Saccharomyces cerevisiae S288C: one gene and its partners. The gene in region 2 interacts genetically with the main gene of each other region. Each region holds a gene or a part of one and is shown on either strand. Other genes may lie near its edges. The genes, in order: PAM16, MPF1, MEF2 and ROF1.

What was found.
Region 1: mutations in MPF1 (region 2) and PAM16 together harm fitness less than expected from each alone (positive genetic interaction), as found in Saccharomyces cerevisiae (one large-scale study listed by BioGRID).
Region 3: mutations in MPF1 (region 2) and MEF2 together harm fitness more than expected from each alone (negative genetic interaction), as found in Saccharomyces cerevisiae (one large-scale study listed by BioGRID).
Region 4: mutations in MPF1 (region 2) and ROF1 together harm fitness more than expected from each alone (negative genetic interaction), as found in Saccharomyces cerevisiae (one large-scale study listed by BioGRID).

What each region holds. Positions count from the first base shown.
Region 1 is NC_001142.9:221,111-228,678, forward strand, and holds PAM16 (import motor complex subunit PAM16), read left to right. Parts: upstream 1-6,216; coding exon 6,217-6,666; downstream 6,667-7,568. Other genes in the region: protein kinase IME2, read left to right, coding at 280-2,217; SET4 (Set4p), read left to right, coding at 3,945-5,627. UniProt on the Saccharomyces cerevisiae protein: Essential component of the PAM complex, a complex required for the translocation of transit peptide-containing proteins from the inner membrane into the mitochondrial matrix in an ATP-dependent manner.
Region 2 is NC_001146.8:349,643-359,010, forward strand, and holds MPF1 (Mpf1p), read right to left. Parts: upstream 5,401-9,368; coding exon 3,178-5,400; downstream 1-3,177. Other genes in the region: PGA2 (Pga2p), read right to left, coding at 1-114; ALF1 (Alf1p), read right to left, coding at 265-1,029; Sm-like protein LSM7, read left to right, coding at 1,298-1,315, 1,412-1,741; YNL146C-A (uncharacterized protein), read right to left, coding at 1,744-1,938; YNL146W (uncharacterized protein), read left to right, coding at 2,073-2,375; MFA2 (mating pheromone a), read left to right, coding at 2,772-2,888; YNL143C (uncharacterized protein), read right to left, coding at 7,152-7,544; ammonium permease MEP2, read left to right, coding at 7,811-9,310.
Region 3 is NC_001142.9:228,959-234,260, reverse strand, and holds MEF2 (mitochondrial elongation factor MEF2), read right to left. Parts: upstream 2,961-5,302; coding exon 501-2,960; downstream 1-500. Other genes in the region: GSM1 (Gsm1p), read left to right, coding at 3,380-5,236. UniProt on the Saccharomyces cerevisiae protein: Mitochondrial GTPase that mediates the disassembly of ribosomes from messenger RNA at the termination of mitochondrial protein biosynthesis. Not involved in the GTP-dependent ribosomal translocation step during translation elongation.
Region 4 is NC_001140.6:451,929-460,490, forward strand, and holds ROF1 (Rof1p), read left to right. Parts: upstream 1-4,662; coding exon 4,663-6,024; downstream 6,025-8,562. Other genes in the region: phosphopyruvate hydratase ENO2, read left to right, coding at 1-712; CTR2 (low-affinity Cu transporter), read left to right, coding at 944-1,513; YHR175W-A (uncharacterized protein), read left to right, coding at 1,630-1,779; FMO1 (N,N-dimethylaniline monooxygenase), read left to right, coding at 2,301-3,599; STB5 (Stb5p), read left to right, coding at 7,371-8,562.

The DNA of each region.
Region 1 (7,568 bases), on a different chromosome or scaffold from region 2:
AAGAAGTTACAAGATCTATCTTTCAAAATAGTTTACAGTTACCTTTACTTTACCCTTTCCCTTTTCAGTTTGTTACCCCTTCTCCTAAAAGTTTTATTTTTTGGGTAAAGATATAAAGGACACTCCAGTCGGTTAAGGTGGCTGTCTAGAGAATATAAACCTGTATTTATTTACCAGGCTTATCAGAAAAGTTAATCGTGTTCTTAAATATTCATTGAAAAGGAACGTGATACAGACGTAATAAAAGAAGAGTACTAAGCTTAACTTAATAGGTCATTTATGGTTGAAAAACGTAGTAGACAGAGTTCCAGTAGTGGCTCAGAGTTCAGTGTTCCACCTGATGTCGATAACCCGCCACTTTCTATCCCTTTGAAGACTTTATCAGACAGATATCAGCTGATCGAAAAACTAGGTGCAGGATCATTTGGTTGTGTAACTTTAGCCAAAGCGCAATTTCCTTTATCGAACATATTGGGTAAACAACATGATATAAGGGGTACTTTAATGGATCAGCCTAAAAATGGTCACCAAAACTATATAACAAAGACACAAGGTGTAGTGGCTATAAAGACAATGATGACAAAACTGCATACACTCCAGGATTATACGAGGGTCAGAGAAATTAAGTTCATACTGGCAATCCCAGCGAATGACCATCTGATACAAATTTTTGAGGTCTTTATTGACTCTGAAAATTACCAATTACATATCGTAATGGAATGTATGGAGCAAAACCTATATCAAATGATGAAACATAGAAGGCGCCGAGTTTTTTCGATTCCTTCTTTGAAATCTATTCTATCGCAGATACTGGCTGGGTTAAAACACATCCACGAACATAATTTCTTCCACAGAGATTTAAAACCTGAAAATATTCTTATCACACCAAGTACCCAGTATTTTGAAAAGGAGTACATGAACCAGATTGGATATCAAGATAACTATGTCATTAAACTTGCAGATTTTGGTTTGGCACGCCATGTTGAAAATAAAAACCCGTATACGGCCTACGTTTCCACAAGATGGTATAGATCGCCTGAAATATTATTAAGAAGTGGTTACTATTCCAAACCTTTGGATATTTGGGCATTCGGGTGCGTGGCGGTGGAAGTTACTGTATTCAGAGCTCTCTTCCCCGGTGCTAACGAAATCGATCAGATATGGAAAATTTTAGAAGTTCTTGGTACACCTATCAAACGTTCTGATTTTGTTAATACAAACCACATCACAGCTCCACCACCTGGTGGATTTTGGGATGATGCCAGTAATTTGGTCCATAAATTAAACTTGAAATTGCCTTATGTAGAAGGTTCATCGTTGGATCATCTACTTTCTAGCTCCCAACTATCCGATTTATCTGAGGTTGTCAAAAAGTGTTTAAGATGGGATCCTAATGAAAGGGCAACAGCCCAAGAGCTTTGTGAAATGCCATTTTTTGAAAACACCGTGGCATCCCAAGTAGACGCAAGAGGCAATGTGACTAATACAGAACAAGCATTGATTTTTGCAGGTATAAATCCAGTAGCGACCAACACAAAGCCCATATATTTTAACTCTTCAACAAAATTGCCCGCAGAAACAGAGTCTAATGATATTGATATCAGCAACAACGATCACGATTCTCATGCTATGTGCTCACCAACATTAAATCAAGAAAAACTAACTTTGGTAGAATTTTTAAACGAATTCGTTGAAGAAGATAATGATGATCACTCAATACCTGATGTTGGAACAGATTCTACCATTTCAGATTCTATTGATGAGACTGAATTATCAAAAGAAATTCGTAATAATTTGGCCCTTTGTCAACTACCAGATGAAGAAGTCTTAGATCATTCATTATCGAATATTAGGCAGTTGACAAATGATATTGAAATTATAAATAAAGATGAAGCAGACAACATGGAACAGCTATTTTTTGACCTGGAAATTCCTGAAAAGGATGAGTTTCAGAGAAAACAACCATTTAATGAACATGCAGATATTGATGAAGACATCGTTCTACCATATGTGAACAACTCAAATTACACACATACAGATAGGTCACATCATAGAGGTGATAATGTTTTGGGTGATGCCTCTTTAGGCGATTCGTTTAATTCAATGCCAGATTTTACTCCAAGAAATTTCTTGATACCTACATTAAAAAAATCACGGGAAAAGTTCGAGCCTCATCTATCCAATTCAAACCAACATTTTGGAAATGTAACCTTCTAATAATTTGTCATTTGACTGACGAATCGTTAGGCACAGTTATATAGTTATATACACATAGACATACATATGTTCGCATATATATTATATTACTATGCATTCACCTAAATAGCTACTGCTCTATTAATACAGTGCTTTTTCGATGGCTTTAATTTAACTTATTAGACATTACTTTGCGTTTATTCCCCTCCAATATATTTTTATGTTTGTTTTTCTTGAACATTTTATGATTTCTTGCTCTTGGCGGCTACTGATTTTGTTAAGCAACTCATCAAGAGGTCAAAAAAAGTAGAACGAGATCTTTGTGTTCGGTTACCCGGCTCAGATCCTAACTTGGTATGTTTATTCGTATAAGTTACTGTTGTCCACAGGCAATACTCTGCAGAAAATTAAAACGGCATTAATGCTAGGACAACCAGAACTGTTACTACTGTATGTGCGATAGTTGATAACTGCAACATTATGCCCGGTATATTCTCAAAAAACCCTATTACTGCATACGAAGAAATCGCAAGAGAAATCTTTCGGTTTGGAAAAGCTCACTGTGAGGTTCCTTGGAGCCAATAGTAATACAGCACAATCCAAGGAAAAATCTGGCCTATATGCAAGGAAGGAGAGATAGTCAAAAGCATTCTTTCCCCTAGAAGTTGGTGCATATATGGCATCGTTAAAACATATTACCCCCAAAATTTCTTCTCTAAACGATGTGCTTGGCCTTTGTTTTGGTTTTTGATGTCGGTCGTTTGAGGCCCCTTGCGGAAAATCGAGATCGCCGAATGGCACGCGAGGGAAGGGAAATAAGGTTTAAAGGCACTGAAACAATAGGCAAGAAGTAGGCGAGAGCCGACATACGAGACTAATGTGTCCGCGTTTCTAAGGCCACTTTTCAATGAAACGGATATTGATATGCTAGTAAAAGGACGAGCTCAAGAGCGAAAATATAAGTAAAGAATTCGAGTGCACTTGTCTCCATGCAGCAAGATTTCATATGAGTCTTTTTTATCTTTTTACTTTTTACATTACACGATATGCACTTTATGAAAATTTAACGAGGTTGGAAGCCGGATAATCAACCAAAATCAGGCACGAAGGCACACTCGTATATGCATGTTGTTGAAACTCTGTTACGCTGAACTAACAATCACACATGTAGAGGTCACCGGGAAAAGTTGCGACCCCATGGAAGGTCGATCTCTTCGTTTGGCTTTGCTTGGCTGGCGGCATTGCGCTTCTTCGCTTATACCCGTCTCTTGACGCTCGAGCTCGTTCATTGAGATACCTTTATTCTTGCACATTTTCTGGCTTTTTTCGCTACTCGGGTACATGTAATCATGCACACAGAAGGTGCTGTAGGGTGAAAGTTCCTTTGTGCTGTCGTTTGTTTTTAATGCCAAACTTTCTGGTGATCAATAACCACCTCTTTTTCCTTCAGGAAACCTTATTATTGTTCTTGGATAGTACTAGGAAGTATATAAGGAACCTCGATTTTGGTATTGCACGGCTATACACATCTAAGAAACTTTGTATAAAAGGTGGCTACCCTATTCATAGCTTGATATCAATAGGCCATCTCATCACTTTTTATTGAAAAGGAAAGGAGGGAAATATATCTGATTCAAATTACTTGTTTGCTTCTCTTTAAGACAAAAGCATAGATAATTTCAGCGTGGAACGCCGGAATAAGATTGGTACCCTCGTCAGAAAGTTACAAATACCGCTTCATCTTCAAAATGACTTCACCGGAATCACTATCTTCTCGTCATATCAGGCAAGGAAGGACATACACAACCACAGACAAGGTCATATCGCGGTCGTCGTCGTACTCATCTAATAGTTCAATGTCTAAAGATTACGGCGATCACACACCCTTGTCCGTCAGCAGTGCAGCTTCAGAGACATTACCCTCACCTCAGTATATGCCGATAAGGACATTCAATACAATGCCTACAGCTGGCCCAACGCCTTTACATTTATTTCAAAATGACAGGGGCATTTTCAACCATCATTCTTCATCAGGCTCATCAAAAACGGCATCAACAAATAAAAGAGGAATAGCAGCAGCAGTAGCATTGGCAACTGCTGCCACCATACCATTTCCACTGAAAAAACAGAATCAAGATGATAATTCCAAGGTCTCGGTAACACACAATGAATCATCGAAAGAAAATAAAATTACACCCTCCATGAGAGCAGAAGATAACAAACCTAAAAATGGTTGCATCTGCGGTTCAAGTGACTCCAAGGATGAGTTGTTTATACAGTGTAACAAATGTAAAACGTGGCAGCACAAGTTATGTTATGCTTTCAAAAAATCAGATCCAATAAAAAGAGATTTTGTTTGCAAAAGATGTGACAGTGATACGAAAGTGCAGGTTAATCAAGTAAAACCAATGATATTCCCTAGAAAAATGGGAGATGAGCGATTATTTCAATTTTCATCCATAGTGACAACTTCAGCATCGAACACAAATCAGCATCAACAGTCTGTGAATAACATAGAGGAACAGCCCAAGAAACGTCAACTTCATTATACCGCCCCAACAACTGAAAATAGCAATAGTATACGGAAAAAATTGAGGCAAGAAAAACTGGTAGTATCAAGCCACTTTCTGAAGCCACTACTGAATGAGGTAAGTTCTTCCAATGACACGGAATTCAAAGCAATAACAATATCAGAGTATAAGGACAAATATGTTAAGATGTTTATTGATAACCATTATGATGACGATTGGGTTGTTTGTTCTAACTGGGAAAGCTCAAGGTCAGCTGACATCGAGGTAAGAAAATCATCAAATGAAAGAGATTTTGGAGTCTTCGCTGCAGATTCTTGTGTTAAAGGTGAGCTAATTCAAGAATATTTGGGCAAAATTGATTTTCAAAAAAATTATCAGACAGATCCAAATAATGACTATCGTTTGATGGGAACGACAAAACCTAAAGTACTTTTTCATCCACATTGGCCTTTATATATAGACTCTCGAGAAACAGGCGGATTAACAAGATACATAAGACGGAGTTGTGAGCCCAATGTGGAACTAGTAACGGTAAGACCGCTTGACGAAAAACCAAGAGGAGATAATGATTGTAGAGTTAAATTTGTTTTAAGGGCTATAAGAGATATTCGTAAGGGAGAAGAGATAAGCGTAGAATGGCAATGGGATTTGAGAAATCCTATTTGGGAGATAATAAATGCATCTAAAGATTTGGATTCCCTACCGGATCCCGACAAGTTCTGGTTGATGGGGTCAATAAAGACTATTTTAACAAATTGTGATTGTGCATGTGGGTACTTGGGCCATAATTGTCCAATAACTAAAATCAAAAACTTTTCTGAAGAATTCATGAGGAATACGAAGGAATCCCTATCTAATAAATCTTACTTTAATACAATAATGCACAACTGTAAGCCATAAACGAAATTTTAAAATTAATAGTATTCATTTTAATCTTTTTTGAAAGCTTAATTTTATCATCATAATTTTTCTTCCAAAACTTCAATCTTGGTATTTTTTTTCGCATTGGTCTTCATTTTTTTTCTTTTGTTTTTAGCTTTAATGTTGAAAGCGTGAATATCAAAACACTTTTATAATAAATCACCACTTTGTAACTATAGAGAACAATTCATGCTTTATTTATAGATGCCACGATTAAGCATCAATCATTAGTTGAGAGGATCCTTAACGTTAAAATCCACCGCACTTTTCCTTTCAAAAAGCTGCATTGTTTCCATAATTCATTTCATGGCAGGTTAATGACTTATTTGATATGAAGAGTGAGGTTCTTATCAAATGAAATTCCTACATATGAATTTTTTAAAAGAGAGTTTTTCGTTTTACGATATTTATTTACTTCATCATCGTTTATCATTTTTCACGTAGCAAATTTTGAAGCTTCAACTTATAACTCATTTGCATCCGATTCACATATTTCAGCTGACTATAAATTTGGCAACAGCTTCGTGACTTGAGCATAAGAAAAACATAGACTTGTTGGATATAAAATATGGCTCACAGGGCTTTCATACAGGTTATAATCACAGGAACTCAAGTTTTTGGAAAAGCATTCGCCGAGGCGTATAGACAAGCGGCTTCACAATCAGTGAAACAAGGTGCTACAAATGCATCTAGAAGGGGAACAGGAAAAGGCGAATATGGTGGTATTACGTTGGATGAGAGTTGTAAAATTTTAAATATTGAAGAATCCAAGGGCGATTTAAACATGGACAAGATTAATAACAGGTTTAACTATCTATTTGAGGTTAACGATAAAGAAAAAGGTGGAAGCTTCTACTTACAGAGCAAAGTTTATCGAGCAGCAGAAAGGTTAAAATGGGAACTGGCTCAGAGAGAAAAAAATGCGAAGGCGAAAGCAGGGGACGCTTCAACAGCGAAACCTCCTCCGAATTCAACAAATTCATCTGGTGCAGATAATAGTGCAAGCAGCAATCAGTAGTCAAGGAAGCCTCCATCATTACGTCACAAGTGTTATCGAAAGCATGCAGCAGTGCATATATTTTCCTAGTTGGTTGCTTCCTGTACGTTAGGAATCTTCAACCACCATCCTTGTATTTAGTTAATATTAGTATATGTACCAAAGTAAATATACTCAGATGCCATCTCGATATACGCACCGTACACGAAAATGAAATTAAAAAAAAAATGTTGGAGCACAAGCAAGGCAGCATCAGAACGTACCGTCAGTTGGTACCAAGACAAGTCCATCCCCGTAGGCACTACAAATTATGGGAATGAGAAAGTATACAAAATATAAACTGTCTTATCATGAAGAAGAGTCGCTTAGGAATTTAAACTTTCAAATCGCATTACGCAATTCTCTAAAAACGCGAACCTTTCCCTGATATGTAATCAGGGAATTTCCTCAGAATAATATTCGATCTAAGAAACCGGAAACGAAATGAAAATTGTTACTACTTTGTTTAGGAGTAGTCAAAGTTCATTCAGCTATGGGTTATGATGAAATGATTTAAATTATTCTCGCTCCAGTATTAACTTATTACGTAATATGAGCTTAAAAGAGCAAGCTCCTCATCACTCACACTCCATAACATGAAGAACGAAAATAACCTAATCTTTAGGTTTCTATGGTATAATGAAATTAATATTATCTAAAGATAGTATTAACCACTACTGATGTTAGCCTTTTGAAAAAAAATCAAAAGAAAAATTTGAATTTTAAAGAAGAAGTAACAAAGGGAAGAAGTTTTTGCCAATCGGACAACACTAGCTCTATTTATACTTTTCTGTTGCTCCAAAAACAGGAAAGAACAAATTTTTCAATTTAGTGTGACCCGGCTAATAATAAAGAGGGAAGTAATAGGTAGGGTTTTACTGGCA
Region 2 (9,368 bases):
TCTTAAGAGTAAATAACCACCTACAATTATCACCAATCTTATAAAGTGCTTGTAGTCATAGTTGACTAGTTTTGCCATCCAGGTATCCACCCATGTTTCCGCTACTTCAGACATCTCTTTCAATTACTCGGCAGTTTTTCTCTTCATAACATCTTTTCCTCATACAAACCGCCGAGTGCACATAAATACAACTACAAATAATAATATGTTGACATCGGATGGAGATCACTAACTAAACCGCCACCGCGCTAATTCTGCACAAATTCAAATTTCATCATCGCTCTCCACGTCATCATGGACGTCTTCCACCTCGGCGGATTCTTCGTCTTTTGATAGAATTTCCACAGCCCGCGGACGCACAAACGATCCGTGACCCGGCGCCACAGGCCCAAACAGTGTTACCCCATTTATGCGCCCATCGTTTTTGCCTGCGGCTTCCGGGAATTCCACACCGCACCATGTGCCCATCACGTCCAACGGTAGTGGTCCTACGTACCGTAAAATGGCCTCACGTGGAGCGCTCCCGTCTACTGTGACACGACAGTGGCGGCCGATAGCCGCCGTTAATTGCTCTCGGGCATATGCTTCGTCCTGCTTTGCCAGCGCAGCGCGCTGGCTCTGCTGTGCAGCATTAAACCTACCATAGCCGTGAGCCATCTTCCATCGTAATACGGATTGATCCCTTCGCAAATAATCCTCCTCGCTAATTACTTCCATTGAGGGGATTCCTTCCGCTTGCGTGGCCAGCTGGTTAGAGATTGATTGGGCATTAGAGTCTGTAACAACCACAATAAGCTCCTCCTCTCCTTTTAGGAAGTTGGCATCTTCATCCTCATTTGAATAGGCACCCCCCTTTTTAGTACTATATATCTCCTTGTTGTCGTACTGTCTTTTCACAACTATTTCCATATCCTCTGGTTCCACTCCGGTAACATGGTACAATCGGTCCTTGAACTGCCTTAATTTAAGCGAATTTGGTAATTCCTTTTCTGTACGGACCAATTCACTCTCTATGACAACTCTAACCATAGTTTTGCCATGTAATTTTTTTTTCTATCTCTTTATTTGAATTCGTTGCTCTATGTTCTTGTCGCTTGTCTTCTTCAACTGCCGTTTCCCTGCGAGCCGGAAAAAAGTACTGTTCTTTCGAACAAAGGCGAAAAAAGCTGTAGCTGAAAACAGACAACTGGGAAACGACAATTAAGAATACGCATGTACGTGTATACTACTACAGTAAAAAAGAAAGTTATTTGAGAGCAGCACTTTGTTTACTACACAGAACATTAACCAAAAAAACATGCATCAGCAACACTCCGTATGTTTCACTTCTTATTTTCTTCCGTGGCAATAACCTTCCTTTTGACTTATTTATACTAACATTATAATAACTATGTTTCCTTTTTGAACTAAGAAATCAGAGAACAAACCACAACAGCAAAGGAAAAAATTCGAAGGCCCTAAAAGAGAAGCTATTCTGGATTTAGCGAAGTATAAAGATTCTAAAATTCGCGTCAAATTAATGGGTGGTAAATTAGTTATAGGTGTCCTAAAAGGCTATGATCAACTGATGAACTTGGTACTTGATGATACAGTAGAATATATGTCTAATCCTGATGATGAAAACAACACTGAACTGATTTCTAAAAACGCAAGAAAGCTAGGTTTGACCGTCATAAGAGGTACTATTTTGGTCTCTTTAAGTTCCGCCGAAGGTTCTGATGTACTATATATGCAAAAATAGGTTTAATAATATAATCTCATATAAACTCCCTTCCTTACAGTTGAAAACAAAATCAAATCACGGTATGGCATTTCTTTACATATTCTCAATACCTGACTGACATAGTATGCGCTACATAGTTTTGTCCTATTTTTTTTACACCGCGATTTGAAGTCTAAAGCCAGAGAATGAGGAAAAACGAAACAAACTGAGATCATTTGTATAAGGGGAGTCACTGTACAGCTGCCAATACCAATTTTCCTTCTGCCAAATCAAAAAAGTATCCGCATACACATACACCCCTCCCTCTACAATCTTAATTATTTACTGATTCCTTTCGTATTTGTCCAGTATGAGCAATACTAAGCATACCACTTCTCATCACATGGAACTCAAAAGGATCATTATCCTTACACTTTTATTCATACTCATAATGTTGATATTTCGAAACTCAGTGTCCTTCAAAATGACATTTCAAGAACTACTGCCACGATTTTACAAAAAGAATTCAAACTCAGTTAGTAATAATAACAGGCCCTCATCTATTTTCTCGGAAAACTTGGTGGATTTTGATGATGTTAACATGGTCGATAAGACCAGACTGTTTATTTTTTTATTTTTCAGTTTCATCATTACTATACCGTTTATGGTATAAATTAGAAAAGTTAAAGCAGCATGTTTTCATTTGAAACAAATACTAATGCAATAATAGGTACACCATCTACTACATAATTAATTGATAGTTTCCTTTTCCGTTAAGTGCATGCATAGGACGCCCATAATTTTTTAAGTTAAAAAAGCATGTATTTACCTATTCGGGAAATTTACATGACATGGATGCCATAAGGAACGAAAATGAAACATGCATGTCAGAGGAAAAAGAACAAAGCGAGAGGAAAAAGCTGTTGCATTACCACGTAATTTTGTATATAAATATCTGATAAATAACCATTTTATTTCCATCCACTTCTTCTGTCGTTCATCCGTTCATTGACATCACTAGAGACACCAGCGAGCTATCATCTTCATACAACAATAACTACCAACCTTAATGCAACCGATCACCACTGCTTCCACACAAGCCACTCAGAAGGATAAATCCTCTGAAAAGAAAGACAACTATATAATCAAGGGCCTCTTCTGGGATCCCGCCTGTGTTATCGCTTAATTTTTGACGACAACCAAGAGGTCAAATCAATATCTACCCTTTCATTTATTACGTGTTGCTGGCAAACTAATTTATTCCAATTCTCTCATCATTAGCTCACCCTTTCCATACTTTTTCATACTTTTATACATATGTATTTGTAGTTATCACTTTAACAGATTTTTTCATGTTTTTCTTTTCTGATACGCCTTTCCCTCCGCAGGAAATGAAAGATGAACCACCCATTACATTCGATTTTTTTTTTAATTATATTTTTGACTATTATTTAATCATTAAAAACACATATATTTCATAAATTCGTAAGGTCGTTAGTTCTATCGTAAAAGTGAAAAAGTTTTGAGCCAGTTTTCAAAAACCCGCAGGATCCCACTATGTATGGCTTTAAATAATGGTTTTTCACGTGCATCAAGTCCGTACTATCTTCACCACTATAAACTCTTATAGGTGGATTATTCGTTTCGAATGCTGGTGGCAGTGCCGGTTTGAAAATAATCTTACCTACCCATGGGTGGTCTTCCGTTAACGGTTTGATGCATCTTAATGAGTCTTTGATATATCTTTTCCTTGAAACTAGTTGTGTCGCCGGTGCCCACTTCGAATCGTTACTGGATTGATTCTTATTTCCACATTTTAGTGACAATTTCTTTGGAAAATCATGATTTAAACAACCAGTCACGGAAAAGCTTTTCGTACTGAATATTGTACCGTACTCAACGTCCGCATTCTCATAGCGAGATTCTCTTTCATCCAAATATACCAATCTATTGATGTCATCATCCTCAACATATCCATCTTCATCATCCTCTTCGTAATTAGCATCGTCTTCGTCTTCGTCATCATCTTCATCTCCATTTACATCTTCATTGCCACGGTTTAACTTTTCTTCACGATTCGTACGCTCAGCAGAATTCGAAATAGTTGACCTTCCTGTTCCCTCGTATACCGGTTCAAAATTATTAATTTTCAACACTGACCGATCACAGCGCAAAGGATCTATAGGGTTGGAATTCGATCTACTTCTGAAGTTTTCATGGATGGATGTTTGTGCCGTTAAAACAGAATGTGCTGTGGGAGAAAAAGTGGAAGATAGAACAGAAGTATTGGTATTAGTAGTACTACCATTGTCATCGATTTCTTCTTGAACACTATTCAGTTCCTTCGATCTCATTTTTTGTCCAATGTCCATATTAGAGTTTTTTCTCGAACTGGAATCTGTTTTAAAGAAATTTCTTAGTTTTGATGTAAATAAGCCACAAAAATCAGTTTGAGAACTCTCCCCTGCCAATGAACCAGAGTCATTGGGCCCATTGGAGTCATGACTCGCATCGGATACAGAGGGAGGTAGCAAGCTTAAACTTCTTGATCTTGATTTGTTTGTCGGACGTTCGTTGCCGGTGGCCACTTTTGTTACAACAGAAGAGGTGTGTGATCTTCTTAAAAGTAAAGAGTGGGAGCGAGAATCATTTCTATCACTATTTTGTCTGCTCTTGTTTTTGTTTTTGTTCTTATTGTGTTGCTTAAATCTTCTTGCCCTCGGATGTCTCCTTCTGGGAACGCTTCTATAGGTGGGCATTTCCCTCAATTCCAGATCCAAGGACAGGGATATACCCATGTTCAAATACATAGCCCAATAGATCAATTCGTCTACATGAGAAAACTGCACTAGAAACTGTTGTCCCTCACAACGCATTCTTAAAACAAAATCTCTAGAGGAATAATCTATAGGCAGACCAACTTTGGCACATTGCAGGGAGTAACTCTTAAAGAGGCGCTCATCTGATAAAAATTTGTGCTCGTCTCGTGCTATTTCCCCGCATATCCTTTCCTTGTCATATTTATCGAATTGGTAAGTGGATTTCGTCGTGAACGCATTTAATAACGACCGAGCCGAATGATGGCGATCGCTAGCAGTTTTGGAATGGTGGGAATGGTCAAACATGTCACCACCACGATAGTTTTTAATATGCCTGGTTAATGAATCGTCAATAGAATAAAAGTTTATCTGCGTAGAGTTTATTTGAAGAATAAAGTTGTTCCATAATCGAGAAGAAGCATTTTCAAAGGGCGATAGTTTTTCCATCTTCATAGAAACCACAGTATAGTGTTCTACAGACGGTGTATAACTGGGAGGTTTCACAGAAGTGAGGCACGGACGACAATGCTCATATATAGGGTACCTAATGACTTTAGACGGATTCGCAAAATCATAACACGGAGGTTCCACTGGGTACGGATCTATGCAGTAAAGCACGTTTTTGTCAGCAACATCAACATCTACTCCGGATTGTGGCTCCACTATTTCGTTCATGATGTTTGTGTTAATGTCTGTTATGCTATCGATATGGTTAAAAGTCACTTTCGGAAGCGGAGAATCCAGAATAGAATTACTAGTAGTACTGGAACAAAGAAACTCGTCGCCCATGGATATGGATGAGGCTGTCTGTGAAAGCTTCAGCCCCGTACTATCCATACCGTCGTGGTCTATTGTCATTTCAAAGATGCTGGAGGACATTTTCTGAATAGGTCCGTTTATCTCTTCTGCTGTCTGCGAAAACAACGTAAAAAAATAGTGCTTAGTGTTACTGCCTGTGTAACAACTAGTGCCAAAGTTACAAAGAAACTTCACTAACAGTTTTTGCAATTTACCAAGAAAGCACCAACAAAATAAATAAATAGCATGCCTGTATATATTACGAAAAGTCCTTCAACTACGTCTTCCACTTGCTCTATCCCTTGGCGGAAAACAGAATACATGCAAATTTTAGAGAATTTTTCAAGATGCCTGCCCCCCACATTTTCTTACTTGATCAAGAGCAGATCTGTTCCTTTGCGCAGGGGGTTGCATGGGGGAGAAACTGGCCGGAAGCAGCCGAAAGAAAGTTCGCAAAAAGATAATGGGGACAGTATTAGAGAAAACGGCGTGGAGGGGTATGGAGGAAACAGTTAGCATAGGTAACGAAAAACCGCAGCAAAATAATTCTCTCTTTTTTTCTTTTGACTTAGTTGTGGGACCCGGATCATTCGGTACTGCATCTTATTCCCGTGCCAAGGTCTCTGGGTGTTGCTGATTTCCGGGTATCCAGAGCTCTATCTGCTTCCGTACCCAGTGAGTGAGCTAAAATAAAAAAGGGGCCTCGGCGGAATTTGAATTCGGGTTACGTTTCCCACGGAGCCCCGGATAGAAAAGATTAGTTTCAGGTACATGTGTCAAATGAGGATAAATCTCAAACACCCATGTACCGAAAATCGATGTGTTGGTTATATTACAAGGTTGGAATAGACCACGGTGATAAGACGTGGAATTTTTGACTGACCATGCGACTCTGAAGGTGTTAACCGGAGGAATTCACGTAATTTACATCTCAAGAACAGCAGAACAAAGATCGAGTATATGATGAAATTTCGTTTTACATGAATAAAGTCATATTTTAACTCACTGTGCACGGATTAAGGGCTGTGATTTAGTGGGACGAGTGGTTCTACACTACTCAAGAAGTCACGCTGTCATTTGATGGAATTACAGTGCTTATTAGGAGCCGTGTAGCTTAGTGTGAATTGATGGAAGCTTTCGAGTTTCATAGAACATATCTGGTGAATGTATATGAGTTTTTCATTCCTTTTACGAGACGCAACTTTCCGCGGTTACGGAACTGTTGTTTTGTTTTACATCTTTTCATTTTTCATACATTTTATTGAGGCGTAGAAATGAAATGGGTAGAGCGGCACATGGATGTAACAATCTCCATTATTCACGTCGAGCCGATACCCGCTTCTGTTGACGCTCTGTTAAGCATAGAACCTACGAGATTTGTGCTAAAGGACGTTGGCAAGGAAGAAAACTATTGTTGATGACAGGATTTATAGCAGTAAATATTTTTTTCTTTTTTGCGAAATTATGTACGTTTCTCATCCAAGAAGAATCCTGTTAATATTTAAATTTCTGCTAGTCATTATCATATTGCAATGGCTTTTATTAGTGAAAGCCACTGTCAACAGTAACTGAGCTACTCCCTCCAATGTTGTCTAACTCTATGCTCTTTTTGGCGTCTGAATGAGCCATAACGAGGGAAATAACTGTATCAGGAATACTAACAGAATACAGATTGGATGCACTGGTGCTGGTGAGTTTTCTTTTTCTGATATTATTGGATAATATTTTCAGCTATAGACTATCATCATTCAGCATTGGTCACGCTAAAATATACGTTCCATGCATACGTGATAGCCTACTCGGTTGTCAACTTCATTTTATAGGCTGCCTGGTCACCGATTACCGCCCCGCTCAGCAGGACGGTTTAAGCTTCTGTTCTTGGAAACGACGTAATTCATGTCGGCCATCGAAATCATTCCTGGCTTTGTAATAGTCATAATGAACAAGGAATGCTGTCTTGGGTTTTTTTCCCTTTGCGAATACCCGGGCTGCCAAAATAGAAAAGGAACAAATGGTAGGTCTTTAAGATAAGAAAGATAAGATAAGACATCTTTTTTTTTTTTTTTTTTTTTTTTTTTTTTTTCCGATAACAAAGAAGAATCCTTCGGTCTCTTCTTACTGCTGTTACTGCTTATCAAGAGTGTCTGGTAATAGTCAAAGCCAGATAAGATAAGAAATGTAAAATCGACTATTTCCCTCGTAAAAAGCTTCAATTGCTCACGCATCGACGAATACTAAGCGGCGTGAAGACCCTGTGCCTTATCAATGAAGTATTCAGTACAAGAGGTGTTCATTCCGAGCCACTTTTCTGCACCATATATAAGCAGTAGTTACACATGTGCTAACCAAACATCAGTGGGTAGTAATCATTCGTGCTTTCACGTCCTTTCAAATTAAATATCCTTCTTAAATAATAAGTCTGCACAGAGCTTTGAAAGAAGTTTAGTTTTGTAATATATCATACTTAATATATTACAATACAATATCAACAATGTCTTACAATTTTACAGGTACGCCTACAGGCGAAGGAACGGGTGGTAACTCGTTGACAACAGATTTGAATACACAATTTGACTTGGCCAACATGGGATGGATCGGTGTGGCTTCAGCAGGTGTGTGGATTATGGTCCCAGGTATCGGTTTATTATATTCTGGTTTATCCAGGAAAAAGCATGCTTTATCCTTGCTTTGGGCCTCGATGATGGCTTCCGCCGTGTGTATTTTCCAATGGTTTTTCTGGGGATACTCATTAGCTTTCTCACACAACACTAGAGGTAACGGTTTTATTGGTACCTTGGAATTCTTTGGGTTTCGTAACGTTTTAGGAGCCCCATCTAGTGTCAGTTCTCTTCCCGATATACTGTTTGCCGTTTACCAAGGTATGTTTGCCGCAGTCACCGGTGCCCTAATGCTAGGTGGTGCCTGCGAGAGGGCAAGGTTGTTTCCTATGATGGTGTTCTTGTTTTTATGGATGACTATTGTTTATTGTCCTATTGCATGCTGGGTCTGGAATGCCGAGGGTTGGTTGGTCAAATTGGGTAGCTTGGACTATGCAGGTGGTTTATGTGTCCATTTAACATCTGGACATGGTGGTCTAGTTTACGCTTTGATACTGGGTAAGCGTAATGACCCTGTTACACGTAAAGGGATGCCCAAGTACAAACCACATTCCGTCACCTCGGTGGTTTTAGGCACAGTGTTCTTATGGTTTGGTTGGATGTTCTTTAACGGAGGCTCTGCAGGTAATGCAACTATACGAGCATGGTACTCTATTATGTCCACAAACTTAGCTGCTGCTTGCGGTGGCTTGACATGGATGGTTATCGATTATTTCAGATGCGGAAGAAAGTGGACTACAGTTGGTTTGTGTTCAGGTATCATCGCTGGCCTAGTGGGTATCACCCCAGCCGCCGGGTTCGTGCCAATCTGGTCAGCCGTTGTCATTGGTGTGGTTACTGGTGCAGGATGTAACCTTGCTGTTGACTTAAAGAGTCTATTGCGCATCGATGATGGTCTAGATTGTTACTCTATCCATGGTGTGGGTGGTTGTATTGGTTCTGTATTAACTGGTATCTTTGCTGCAGACTATGTAAATGCCACTGCAGGCTCTTACATTAGTCCAATTGATGGTGGCTGGATCAATCATCACTATAAACAAGTTGGTTATCAATTAGCAGGTATATGCGCTGCACTAGCCTGGACTGTTACTGTCACATCTATCTTGCTTCTAACTATGAATGCCATTCCATTTTTAAAACTAAGATTAAGTGCTGATGAGGAAGAATTAGGTACCGACGCTGCTCAAATTGGTGAATTTACATACGAGGAATCCACTGCTTACATCCCAGAACCAATCAGATCTAAAACATCGGCACAAATGCCACCTCCTCATGAAAACATTGATGATAAGATTGTGGGTAACACAGACGCAGAAAAGAATTCTACGCCTTCCGACGCTTCTTCTACTAAGAACACTGACCATATAGTATAATGATATACTCAAGCAGACTATGATTTTATGTTTAATCTTTATGTAACGCTTCATTTAA
Region 3 (5,302 bases), on a different chromosome or scaffold from region 2:
TTGAAAAAGCAACGACCAGTATTATACCTCTTTTTTTTATTATTCAGTTTATATTTTTGCAAGTGATCTTAAGCATTTCTACACAAACTTATGCCAACGTGACCATTTATTATTTTATATAGCAAAAAAAAATGAGGGGCCTTGCAGAACAATTGTTGCGAGTTTCTAATAACAAGCACGTAGAATATTGGCCATTTAATTTTTCTCTTCAATTTATAGAATGGTTGTGTTAGTGACAAAAAGAATATTCTTCCCCGCCAGGACTCGAACCTGGAATCTCCTGGTTCGTAGCCAGACGCCGTGACCATTGGGCCACGAGGAACAAGAATATAAAGATCTCTGAGGGCAAGGTATGCCTATGTCGCAATAAAATGTTTGTTCCTGCGCAAAAGTAAAGTTCTATTAATATACAACTACACAGTTATCGGTTCACACTATTCGATAGTTGTAAAAACCATTTTGATAAAGATATAACAAGGCGTTTATTAAGGACATTTTTGCTACAAGTCGTGAAGTATTGATTGTAGGCGATCGTTGGTAACTTTCTCCATATCGGAATATTCAATATTGAACTCACCCCTCCCTTGCGATAAGCTCCTTAGCTTATTGGTGTAGGTGGTAATTTCCCTTAGTGGCACTTTCGCTTTTATAATTTTTTTTACATTAGAACTGGTCTCTTGAGTGTTTTTTTTATCTTTGGTTGCGTGTAGGGTTGTAACAGCATCAGAGGGAATATATATCCTATTGCTGTTCTCTGGAGAATTACAAGTGGATGCGCCAGAATTTGACACGCTTGATTCGTCTTCAATAGACAGAATTTGAGCCTTTCTTGCTCCTGTTAGATCTTGTAACACCGTACCAACATCAGATTGAGGGATTGTTAGATCAAGATTCATGATGGGTTCCAGAAGGTTGTATTTTTCAGGTTTTAAGTCATTGAGAGCTTTAAAAATTAAGTTTCTAGTAATTTTTAAGATTTCTTGTGGAGTTTCAATATCAGGTGGGACTGACCAATCGCTATTGATTTTGATGGAGCATGCATATAAGGGAAAGTTAGCTATTTTTCCGCCTCTTTGAAGTCCCACAATGCAACTTGCAATAATAGAATTTAGAATTGATTCGAAAGAAACTTGGTATTTCCATTCTTTATCCCAATTACCATTTTTTTCCATTATCAGAAAATTCTCGTTGACTCCTAATGGATATGCAAGGCAGTTAGGAAGGGCATCGGAATTTGGTAGCAGAGATAAGGAGAATCTATATCCATCATCACTCTCATACGTTTCTATATTTGTTTCTGAATTAATTGTTTCTTTGTAGGACACCATCAACTGACCAAATTCAACATCTGCTTTTAGGTCATTAACCAATCGATCCTTGGCAATTTCAAGGTGTAATTCACCCATACCGTTTAAAACCGTTTGGCCAGTCTCATCATTTTGAGAAATTGAAAGACTGGGATCTTCAGTAATTAAAGTGTTTAAAGCTTCTTCCATCGATTTTTTATTACTTAAAGTCCTTGGTTCGATGGAAACACCAAAAACTGGTGGGGGAATGAAGATAGAATTGATTTTTAACGTCAACTCCTTTTTTTTATCAAGTGATTTCAACCCATCCTTCTTCGACGAATGCGTTATTAGTGTATCTCCAGTAGATATGTTGTTTTCGACTGTAGAGCCAGTAAGCAATCCGATTTGGCCCGCAGTTAAAATATTTACAGGTTGTGATGTTCCCGCATGGGGTATCAGTAATTTACCCAATTTAAATTTTTCCCCAGTAGTAGAATTATAAACGGTATTGCCACTGTTTAGTGTACCTGAATAAATTCTAATGAATATTTGTTTACCCCTGATTGGATCCGTAATCACTTTGAATGCAAGAGCAATGCAAAGATTTTTGTTGTTGTTTACTAAACATCCAACTTTGGGGTCATATTTCATTGGAACGGTTTTATCATTTAGTTCTGGTAGTTCGGCTTCAATGGGCGAAGGGAGATAATTAACTATAGCATCTAATAGAGGCTGCACGCCAATATTTTTAAAAGACGCACCGCATAAGACAGGTACAATCATATTCTTCATAGTCAGTTTTCTTATTGAAGCGTTCAAAAACTGTGCGGAAACCTTGGAGTAATCGCCTTCTGCCTCCTCTAAGAAGTGCTGGACTAAATCTTCGTCGTATTCAGTCAAAGTCTCTATCATCGATTCCCTACAACGATTACACTGCTCAAGAGAAGTACCATCCAACTCATCCACGATAATTTCATCAGGATTTTCTGGATTCCAGGTTAATCGCTTCCCATTTACGACGTCAATAACACCTTGGAAAACATAATCATTGCTAGTCGGTTGTTTTCGATAGTAAGGAATGTTTACCAACACCGGTTTGGTAGTTGTTCCTCTCATAAATTTATTTATCAAGTCATTGACTGTATGGTTGAAACTCGCCCCCATACGATCCATTTTGTTGATAAAGCAGATTTTGGGCTTCGATTTACTTTGCTTCCAAACCTTCTCTGTCTGTGCCTCTACGCCGGCAACAGCGTCCAAAATGACCACGCATGAATCAATAACTTTCAAAGCCCTAATCACTTCAAAAGTAAAATCTATATGTCCCGGCGTATCAATAAGATTTATTGCAAAAGTATTTCGCCATGGGAATGAAATCGCAGCGCTTTGAATTGTGATACCTCGGGATCTCTCCTGCTCTAAAAAATCAGTTATCGTATCGCCAGTGTCGACGTCTCCAATATGCTTTGAGATTCCTGCATAATAAAGCATCCTCTCTGTTGTGGTAGTTTTACCTGCATCGATATGGGCTATAATTCCTATATTTCTAACCTTAGACAGTGGACTTCTTGCGGTCGATAAGTATCTACTTCCAACGTTAATTACACTTAATCGGTTCTTGCTAATGTTTACTCTTGCGCCCGCCCATCTGCGCACATTCCATTTCCACATAGCCTCCCTCACTTATCTTGCCCCTTTTGTATATCTCTGACTGCCGTTTTGCCACCAGAAAGCTTGTTGATCTATTTCACATTATCTTCTTTTAACCGCCCAGCCTCCGCGCCGTCGTCGTTCTCTGTGCTGATTGGTTATCTCCCCTCTCACTAAGGGAAGGCCTCAAAAATTGTCGAAATGAGAAGAGGCTGAAACGATTTACTAATCATCATAGCCTGCTTAAACGAGTTAACACTAAGGGGAAGGGTACGACTATCATTTGTTCGGATCTCTGAACCGGATATTTTCTTTGTTACACACATCAAGTTTTTGCATGAATAGATCATATTTCGAATGATTTAACGTATTACAGCTTAGCAATAAAGGGAGTAAAGAAATAATATATTTGGATACAGCATACAAGAATATATATACATATGACCAAAAAACTACCTTCAGAGTTGAAACAGACGAGAAAGTCTATCCAGACAGCTTGTGAATTCTGTCATACCAAACATATACAGTGTGACGTAGGGAGGCCATGTCAAAACTGTTTAAAAAGAAATATTGGGAAGTTTTGCAGAGATAAGAAAAGGAAATCAAGAAAACGAATTGAGAAGCATGGAACACAACCATACTTGAATTTGGGGAAGAGGCTGGTAATACATGATGTGCCGTCGAAGACGGTATCCCCCTCAAGCGTACATCTGCAGCGAGATTTTCTATCTTCAGATCAGGAAAAACCAGGCAAAACACCTGCCCACAATACGAATATCCAATATACGTATAATATAAATGATAACTTTCAAAGCGCTGGATCTATTCCACGTATTACGAACTTCAATACGAATAACCGCCAGACCGTCTTAGAAAATACTTCTAATAATATATCAGCTTCACAAGCAGTACATTTAATGAATGACCCCATCATACCCACCGTACGGAAGAGTACTCTCAATTTAAAGTCGCATTTCCTAGAGCAACATAAAGCAATGCAGCAGCCGCTGGCTACCAATTGTTTGGTTGCTACTTCAAACGTTCCTGTGCACTCTGGAATGGACGATAGTAATAAGAGTGACGATGATGTCGATGACGAAACTAATATTCACTTTGATAGTATGTGGTGCAATGACGAATACATGAAATTAAAGGATATAGTAGATATTTCAACGCCGTTTTTACCGAATAACTCCCAGATATTTTCCCTCCAAGAATCAGAATATCCCAATCCTAGCGCATCTACACGGGGAAATTCGTCATTGCATTTAACGAACCTTTTAAACTCGACAAAAAGCGTGAATGACCAAAAGGACTCCTCGATCGGCCATTCCACTTCTACTTTCAATACATATGATGAAGTAGTGTCTAGGCCCTTTATATCTTTAGACATGCTGCATTTGAATCGTGGAGCAAACGCTAATACACACCCATCACATAACGCCAAACTGGAAAGCGAATGTGACAGTTCTAGTCACTCCGATGCAGATCTGGAGAAACATGATACCGATTTCATATCACCTTCAAAGTTTCGTGAATTAGTAAAGACTCCTCAAGACCTATATGACAATAAATGTTTAATAAAACCGCATAATTACAAGCTCGCATACACCAAACTGCTAACTACTTTAAGAAAAAAATTTCTTGAAGGAGCTGAAATTGATAAATCTGCCTCAGTAAAAGACGAACACAGTACCCAAAAGCATAATTTGAGATATGATTTAGAAGTTATAATACGCTCTATACTAGAAAGATATGCTCCAATTTTCATTTCGTTAACATCCAATATGATTGAAGAGGATTTGCTATTACAGGAAGTTACCTTGCAAAGGGCTTTATTAGATTTGGAGAACATGGCAAAATTAGTAAGCTGCACACCGATGTGCATCTGGAGAAGATCAGGCGAGATTTGTTTTGTCAGTAACGAATTCTATTCTTTAACAGGTTTTAACAAAAATTTACTATTAGACCGCACCTCCTTTATTTTTGAATATCTGGATCATAAAAGCGTTTCGAATTACTTTCAAATATTTAACGAATTGCTGGCATTTGGTTACAATGATATCAATAAAAGGAAAAAACTATTGATGTTGAACGCATGTTCTTCTACCTCGTCAAAAATTACAGAAGGGTTTTCTTTTACTACGGATGGAAAAGCAATCTTTACTAAGTGCAATTTATTATTAAGTAACGGTCTTTATTTGAAGTGTGCCTGTTGTTGGACAGTAAAAAGGGACTCGTTTAATATCCCAATTCTCGTAATGGGACAATTTTTACCAATTTTTGAAATGGACTGATCACTATTTTTTGGGCTTATTACTGATTACAGTTTTTATATGCATTCTGTCCGTTTCTTTGATTTT
Region 4 (8,562 bases), on a different chromosome or scaffold from region 2:
ATACGGTGCTTCTGCCGGTAACGTCGGTGACGAAGGTGGTGTTGCTCCAAACATTCAAACCGCTGAAGAAGCTTTGGACTTGATTGTTGACGCTATCAAGGCTGCTGGTCACGACGGTAAGGTCAAGATCGGTTTGGACTGTGCTTCCTCTGAATTCTTCAAGGACGGTAAGTACGACTTGGACTTCAAGAACCCAGAATCTGACAAATCCAAGTGGTTGACTGGTGTCGAATTAGCTGACATGTACCACTCCTTGATGAAGAGATACCCAATTGTCTCCATCGAAGATCCATTTGCTGAAGATGACTGGGAAGCTTGGTCTCACTTCTTCAAGACCGCTGGTATCCAAATTGTTGCTGATGACTTGACTGTCACCAACCCAGCTAGAATTGCTACCGCCATCGAAAAGAAGGCTGCTGACGCTTTGTTGTTGAAGGTTAACCAAATCGGTACCTTGTCTGAATCCATCAAGGCTGCTCAAGACTCTTTCGCTGCCAACTGGGGTGTTATGGTTTCCCACAGATCTGGTGAAACTGAAGACACTTTCATTGCTGACTTGGTTGTCGGTTTGAGAACTGGTCAAATCAAGACTGGTGCTCCAGCTAGATCCGAAAGATTGGCTAAGTTGAACCAATTGTTGAGAATCGAAGAAGAATTGGGTGACAAGGCTGTCTACGCCGGTGAAAACTTCCACCACGGTGACAAGTTGTAAAGTGCTTTTAACTAAGAATTATTAGTCTTTTCTGCTTATTTTTTCATCATAGTTTAGAACACTTTATATTAACGAATAGTTTATGAATCTATTTAGGTTTAAAAATTGATACAGTTTTATAAGTTACTTTTTCAAAGACTCGTGCTGTCTATTGCATAATGCACTGGAAGGGGAAAAAAAAGGTGCACACGCGTGGCTTTTTCTTGAATTTGCAGTTTGAAAAATAACTACATGGATGATAAGAAAACATGGAGTACAGTCACTTTGAGAACCTTCAATCAGCTGGTAACGTCTTCGTTAATTGGATACTCAAAAAAGATGGATAGCATGAATCACAAGATGGAAGGAAATGCGGGCCACGACCACAGTGATATGCATATGGGAGATGGAGATGATACCTGTTCGATGAATATGCTATTTTCGTGGTCATACAAGAATACGTGTGTCGTCTTTGAATGGTGGCATATCAAGACCCTGCCTGGACTGATTTTAAGTTGTTTAGCAATTTTTGGTCTAGCCTACCTCTATGAGTACTTAAAGTACTGTGTCCATAAGAGACAATTATCCCAGAGAGTATTGTTACCAAATAGATCTCTGACCAAGATCAACCAAGCCGACAAAGTGTCCAATAGTATTCTATATGGTTTGCAAGTGGGATTCTCATTCATGCTCATGCTTGTATTCATGACTTATAATGGTTGGTTAATGTTAGCTGTCGTGTGTGGGGCAATATGGGGTAATTACAGCTGGTGTACTTCGTATAGTCCTGAGATAGATGACAGCTCCCTCGCCTGCCATTAAGATGGTGACAAATATTACAAATTTGATACTATTTGTATCTATTTTGTTTTTATCCGGGATTTTTCGTATTTCTTCCTCATTCATACCCTTCCCTTTATTTGTTCCCACTGAGTATAATGATAAACTACGTTAACATTACATGTATAATATTTAGCACTCGTACGTTACTAGTCTTTGACACAAGTTTATATATCCCCCCCTTTATGTTATCGTTTATTGGCTACAGCCTCAGTAATCAAAATAGTCCACTATTTCTATATCATTAACTTCTGCGTCGCCAAGATGTTAATCATGAAACGATCTAGTTCTTCAACAGTTTGCCAGCGACCATTCGAGCTAATCTTGAACAAAAGTAATACTATTTAAGGGTGGGCGCGGGTTGTTATACCGTTTTGAGACGATCTACTATAACGTTATATTTAATTATATAAGTGATGAATTTAATGTCCCGTCCACAACACGAAATCGCACCTCATTTCAACGCGGCAAGTATTAATGTTCTGCTTTATGAAAGATTCCATGAACCCTTTTCTACCTTTTAAATTCCTCTTTTCACTCTTAATCACATGATATTACCTTTACATAGGAAGCGCCAGACATCTTTTTGCCGAGAAAAGCCATTATGCAAGATAATCCTGTAGCCTCATATCAAGGATAAATGCCACTGCAAAAACGCAGTCGTTATTTGGGACTGTATTTAAATGGGCCACTGTTTTTATACAAGTCGAAAATACAATAATACAGAAAATTCAAGCAGGAAGCGAGAAATAACAAGAAGTAACTAGGCATGACAGTGAATGACAAAAAAAGATTGGCAATCATAGGTGGGGGGCCAGGAGGGTTGGCAGCTGCAAGAGTTTTCTCGCAAAGTCTTCCAAATTTTGAAATAGAAATATTTGTAAAGGATTACGATATTGGCGGTGTCTGGCATTATCCAGAACAAAAAAGTGATGGGAGGGTCATGTATGACCATTTGGAAACCAATATATCAAAGAAGTTAATGCAGTTTAGCGGCTTTCCCTTCGAGGAAAACGTCCCTTTATATCCGTCTCGAAGAAACATTTGGGAATACTTGAAAGCCTATTACAAAACGTTCATTGCCAACAAAGATGCTATCAGCATCCATTTCAGCACCGAAGTTACCTACTTAAAGAAGAAGAACTCTCAATGGGAGATAACATCTAAAGACGAACTAAGGACTACTAAATCGGATTTTGACTTCGTTATTGTTGCGTCTGGTCACTACAGTGTCCCTAAACTACCAACTAATATCGCAGGTCTCGATCTATGGTTCGACAATAAGGGCGCCTTTCATTCTAAGGATTTCAAAAACTGCGAGTTTGCCCGTGAAAAAGTCGTTATTGTGGTGGGAAACGGCAGTTCCGGCCAAGATATTGCCAACCAACTAACTACCGTTGCAAAGAAAGTATATAATAGTATAAAAGAGCCTGCGAGCAATCAACTGAAGGCCAAGTTAATCGAGACTGTCCAAACAATAGACAGTGCCGATTGGAAAAATCGTTCAGTTACTTTATCTGATGGAAGAGTACTTCAGAATATAGACTACATTATTTTCGCCACAGGCTATTATTACAGCTTTCCATTTATAGAGCCCTCCGTTAGACTGGAAGTGCTAGGTGAGGGTGTTACTGGCGACAAGCACTCGTCTGTCAATCTGCACAATTTGTGGGAGCACATGATCTATGTAAAAGATCCTACGCTGTCCTTTATCTTGACCCCGCAGTTGGTCATCCCGTTCCCGTTGTCGGAACTACAGGCGGCTATTATGGTCGAAGTATTCTGTAAAAGCTTACCGATAACTACAACTTTCGACTCTAATGCCTGCGGAACGCACAACTTCCCAAAGGGAAAGGACCTGGAATACTATGCAGAACTACAGGAACTACTGAATAGCATTCCACGTAGGGTCGGTCATTTCGAACCAGTTGTATGGGATGATAGACTGATCGATCTAAGAAACAGTAGTTATACAGACAAAGAAGAAAGAAATGTGCTTCTAGCGGAACACGCACAAGCCCTAAAGAAAAAAAAAGCACCATACTTCCTTCCGGCGCCACATACTTAACGTAAAAAGGAATGTACTTGTATAGAAAAAACACATATTGTGCCGCTTAATATTTCGTTTCCCTCATGTATATACCTTATCGCTGTTAAAATAAGAAATCTTCACTTCTGCTATCTTTTTTTTTCAAACATTGATTAATAATCCGGCCGTCCGCAGATTGCTTACGCAGAATATACCGTACCGCCACCGTAAAATTAACGAATACTTAAATTTCCGCCTCTTCCGTTTCGGCAATAGCGAACCTTAATGTAAGTTTTTAAAAGGCAGCGCCAAAAATTGCTCTGAAAGGCCTGCAGTGCTTCGCGGCTACGCAGTTCCCATGTAAAAAAAAAAGAAAACTTTCTTTTTGAATCTGGAAAATCCGCACAGGCGCGCCAGCATAAACCTCAGTATCCTGCAAAGGCCATCCTTTTAAAGATCTTAACAACGTATGAATCTGAGGCAGAGAGAAATTAAGCGATAAACGTTCCTTTTAGACTTTCACTTTCTTGGCCGTCATTTAAAAAAAAATTATCTAATAATCTCTAATTTTAAGTTGAAATCACGCTAACATATGACTATGACTATTAACCTTTTTATGTGGAAAAAAAAGGAAGAATATGTTGTAAACGTATTTTAGCCTTGTTCCCGGAACTTTAATCACTCTGGCAACTTTTTAAGTAGTCTGTCTTTTTCTCGGTCGTATATTCCTCAAAATTCAAGAGGAAAGAGGAAGTGAAGAAGAAAGCCTAGAAAAAAAAAATAGGCATTAACACAAAAACGCACCTAAGGGACTGAGGAAAATCAAAAAAATGATAATTGCAGTTAGTAAATCTTCATAATCGACGCCCACTTATTCTTTCTTTATAGTACCGGGTAGGCGGGTAATTCATACGTAGCTGCTGCGGGAGAACTACTATGTATCATTCCCTGTTTATTTGTATGAATTATTATTTAATACGTACATTCTTGTAAGCCCTTCTTCAACAAAACAAACAAATAAAGCGAGAAAAAAGGGAACCACGAATTAAGATAATTAATCAAACAATAGATAGGAAAAGGAGATCGACGAGTAAGCGTAAGAATGATGGATATCAGCCCTACCTGTTATGGGTACATCGACGACGAGCAAGATCTAGCCCTTGTTTTCCAGGGCGTATTCAATGGAAATTTGAGATGCATCGAACGGAGGCCATATGATGCAGAAAAGGTTGAATTAGTCAACCCCGGAAACATTTTTGTTTTCAACGAAGAGAAATCCGGCATCAAAAGATGGACAGATGGTTTTTCTTGGTCTCCTTCAAGAATTTCAGGCAAATTTCTCGTATATAGAGAGTATAATAGGCTGGGTTCCACGCACGATCTACCGCTGCATAATGTACCTGAGTATAATATCTTCGAGAGGGCTCATAGGAAGTATTTTTATACTGGACTACTGAAAAAAACATTTTCTCTAAAATTCAATATGGATCCCACCGACAGCACTAAGCTGGAAACATTTCATCTTATTGCGTACTATACGGAAAAGGATATTCATCAAGGAAGTTTGAGGAGACCTTCAGAAAATCCTTTCTTCCATAAATTTCGACCTTCACAGAAACTATTAGATGCTTTACAAAAAGTTGCTGTAGGAAATGGCAGATCTAACCCGTCTAAAAATAATGAGAGAGGCAGAACCAAAGCTCATAATTATAAAACGCGCAGGTCTTTATCATCTTCTCCGAGCTATTGTGATCTCTTGAGCAATTATAACAACCATCCTGGAAATATTCCAGTTAGGACCGCAGTTCAGTTACCTTTAACCACCTTCAATAACGCTCCTCGAGAAATGCACCAACAGCAGCACCGACAACAGCAACAATATCTCTTACCCATAGATGAACAGAATAAATTACCTCTCCCGTATATGCAGCACCAGCCACAACCAATTGGTGTTTACAATCCTAACTATCAGCCTGGATTGAGACGTACGGTCTCACAACCTATGATTTTCTGCAATACATACAATACTCTCCCGCAACAACCTACTGCAGCACCTTATGAACGGCGTGGCGTGTCGCCTTCAGTGATATACTCCTCCAATACATTGAGCCCAATACCATACCAAAATATCGATCCATACTCTTCGAGGTCGGGTCCTGAATGCAATCACTCTAAGGCGCCTATCGCCCCAACAATGATGCCCCCAGTACACCATATACTTGTGCATGATTACCGACAACCAAAACCAGTCACAGATTCTATTAATCCTCCAAATGTAAACATAACCACCTCCACAACCAACAAGAACCTAGATGGCATTTATATTTTGCCAGCTCCTCGTATGAATCCCCCGGCTCAAACACAATACCAAATGATTCATGCGCCAGACAGCATGCAACATCCACCAACATTTAGTAAAAACAACACATCAAGCAATCCTAAATCCCACCAATACTCAAAGTAGAAGATCAGCATCCTTTCAATTGCTGAAAGGTTCACCTAAAGTACCGCTCATATTCCAAAAGGATTCTTCACTACATAGAAAGGGCAGCCAATTGTGTGTTTTTCAGAAAGGGTTTTAAAAAAACAGGAGGGTGCTTGTTCTTGTTGTTCCCTACCATCGATGGATTTCGAAAAACTATTTATAGGACCATCTGATTTTCACCTCCATCATTGTATCATATACTAACAAGCATATCCAAATTTGTAATTCTATCATGAAATTTCCAGAGAAAGAAACGCAAGGGAACTGAGAAATCAAACCTAAAAACGGTTCTTGGCATTGTTATGAAAAATGAATAAACCAGGGGGGCAAAACAATCGAGAACCCCAATCAAAACCATGTGAGATACCCACTTCGAAAGTTACTGATATTATAACTCTTGTGTCCTCTCTTCTAATACCTTACTTTCACCTTTCTCACGTAGTTAAAGTTGCAACAACACATTTTGTCCTCATCCAATTTCTTCTATAGAATATCCGTTTGCCTCCAGGAGTGAAGAAATGATAGCAGTAACACTGTGAAAGCGAGACTAAGAGAAACGACTTAAAGCTCGAAGACTTCTTGAGGATACGTTTATGTTTCTGTGGCTTCTTCTTCGCGGCGCGGTTCTCGCGTATAGGAATGTTCTAAGACAAGAAGGCATGAAGTTATGTTAACAGATTCTATATCTACTCGCTACGCATATATAAACGGATTCATCATTGAAACAATGGTACTTGTGGTAATGTGTACGACGATTTCAACCCGAATAAAAGCAAAAGTGCAAAAAAAAAACAAGAAGCGCTTAGCACTGTTGAATCATTTAGAACACTACTAATGCTGGTAATACACTCAAGAATGAAGAGTGGCTTACTCCATTGTTGATGCAAAAGTTGTAAATTTCACGAATTATTTAATGCGTTCCTTGCAACCTTCTATTTTGATGAACATCAGGAATTGAAACAAAAAAAAGGCTTCAATCTCAACGGAAAACGGGAAGAAAACTACACTCGATTATACTATATATGCCAAGAAGATTCTCCGACAGATTGTCTACTTAATTTCACATAATATATCTTGTTTTACTAGCTTATTATATAGCGTCGCATTTAATTCATGGCGCCATCACCCGCAGGGAATATAACGACAAGGCCGATACCACGGGAAAAATAGGGCGAGCGGAAATACTAAAAGAAAAATAAGCTTCCGAAATAAAACACCGACAATGAAGTTCTTGGCAAGGTTCGGTTATTTCCTCTACGTAACAAGAGGTATAATATCCGAGCGTACAGGGCTAAAAAATTAATACAAAGGTGTAAAAGAAGGACATGGATGGTCCCAATTTTGCACATCAAGGCGGGAGATCACAACGTACTACTGAATTGTATTCGTGCGCACGATGCAGAAAATTAAAGAAGAAGTGTGGTAAACAAATACCGACATGTGCAAACTGCGATAAAAATGGGGCACACTGTTCATATCCAGGTAGAGCCCCAAGACGTACCAAGAAGGAGTTAGCGGATGCTATGCTACGAGGGGAATATGTTCCAGTGAAAAGGAACAAGAAGGTAGGAAAAAGCCCATTGAGCACTAAGAGCATGCCAAACTCTTCTAGTCCGCTATCCGCAAATGGCGCTATAACTCCCGGGTTTTCGCCTTACGAAAACGATGATGCACATAAGATGAAACAGCTAAAACCGTCAGATCCAATAAATCTTGTCATGGGGGCAAGTCCAAATTCTAGCGAAGGTGTCTCATCGCTAATTTCGGTGCTAACATCGCTGAATGATAATTCTAATCCTTCTTCGCACTTATCCTCTAATGAAAATTCCATGATTCCTTCCCGATCATTGCCAGCTTCCGTGCAGCAAAGTTCGACAACTTCATCATTCGGAGGATATAACACGCCTTCACCACTAATTAGCAGTCATGTGCCTGCGAACGCCCAAGCCGTACCGCTACAAAACAACAATCGCAATACTAGCAACGGGGATAACGGCAGTAATGTTAACCACGATAATAACAATGGCAGTACCAACACACCGCAATTGAGTCTTACCCCATATGCAAACAATTCAGCCCCCAATGGGAAATTCGATTCTGTGCCGGTTGATGCATCCTCGATCGAATTTGAAACTATGTCCTGTTGCTTTAAAGGTGGTAGAACAACATCGTGGGTCAGAGAGGATGGCTCGTTCAAGTCAATTGATAGATCCTTACTGGACAGGTTCATTGCCGCATACTTCAAACACAATCACCGTCTATTTCCCATGATTGATAAAATAGCATTCCTAAATGACGCCGCGACAATTACTGATTTCGAAAGGTTATATGACAACAAAAACTACCCTGACAGCTTTGTTTTCAAAGTATACATGATCATGGCTATTGGTTGTACAACTTTACAGCGTGCTGGTATGGTTTCTCAGGACGAAGAGTGTCTGAGTGAACATTTGGCTTTTTTGGCCATGAAAAAATTTCGTAGTGTTATAATTTTACAAGATATCGAAACTGTACGAT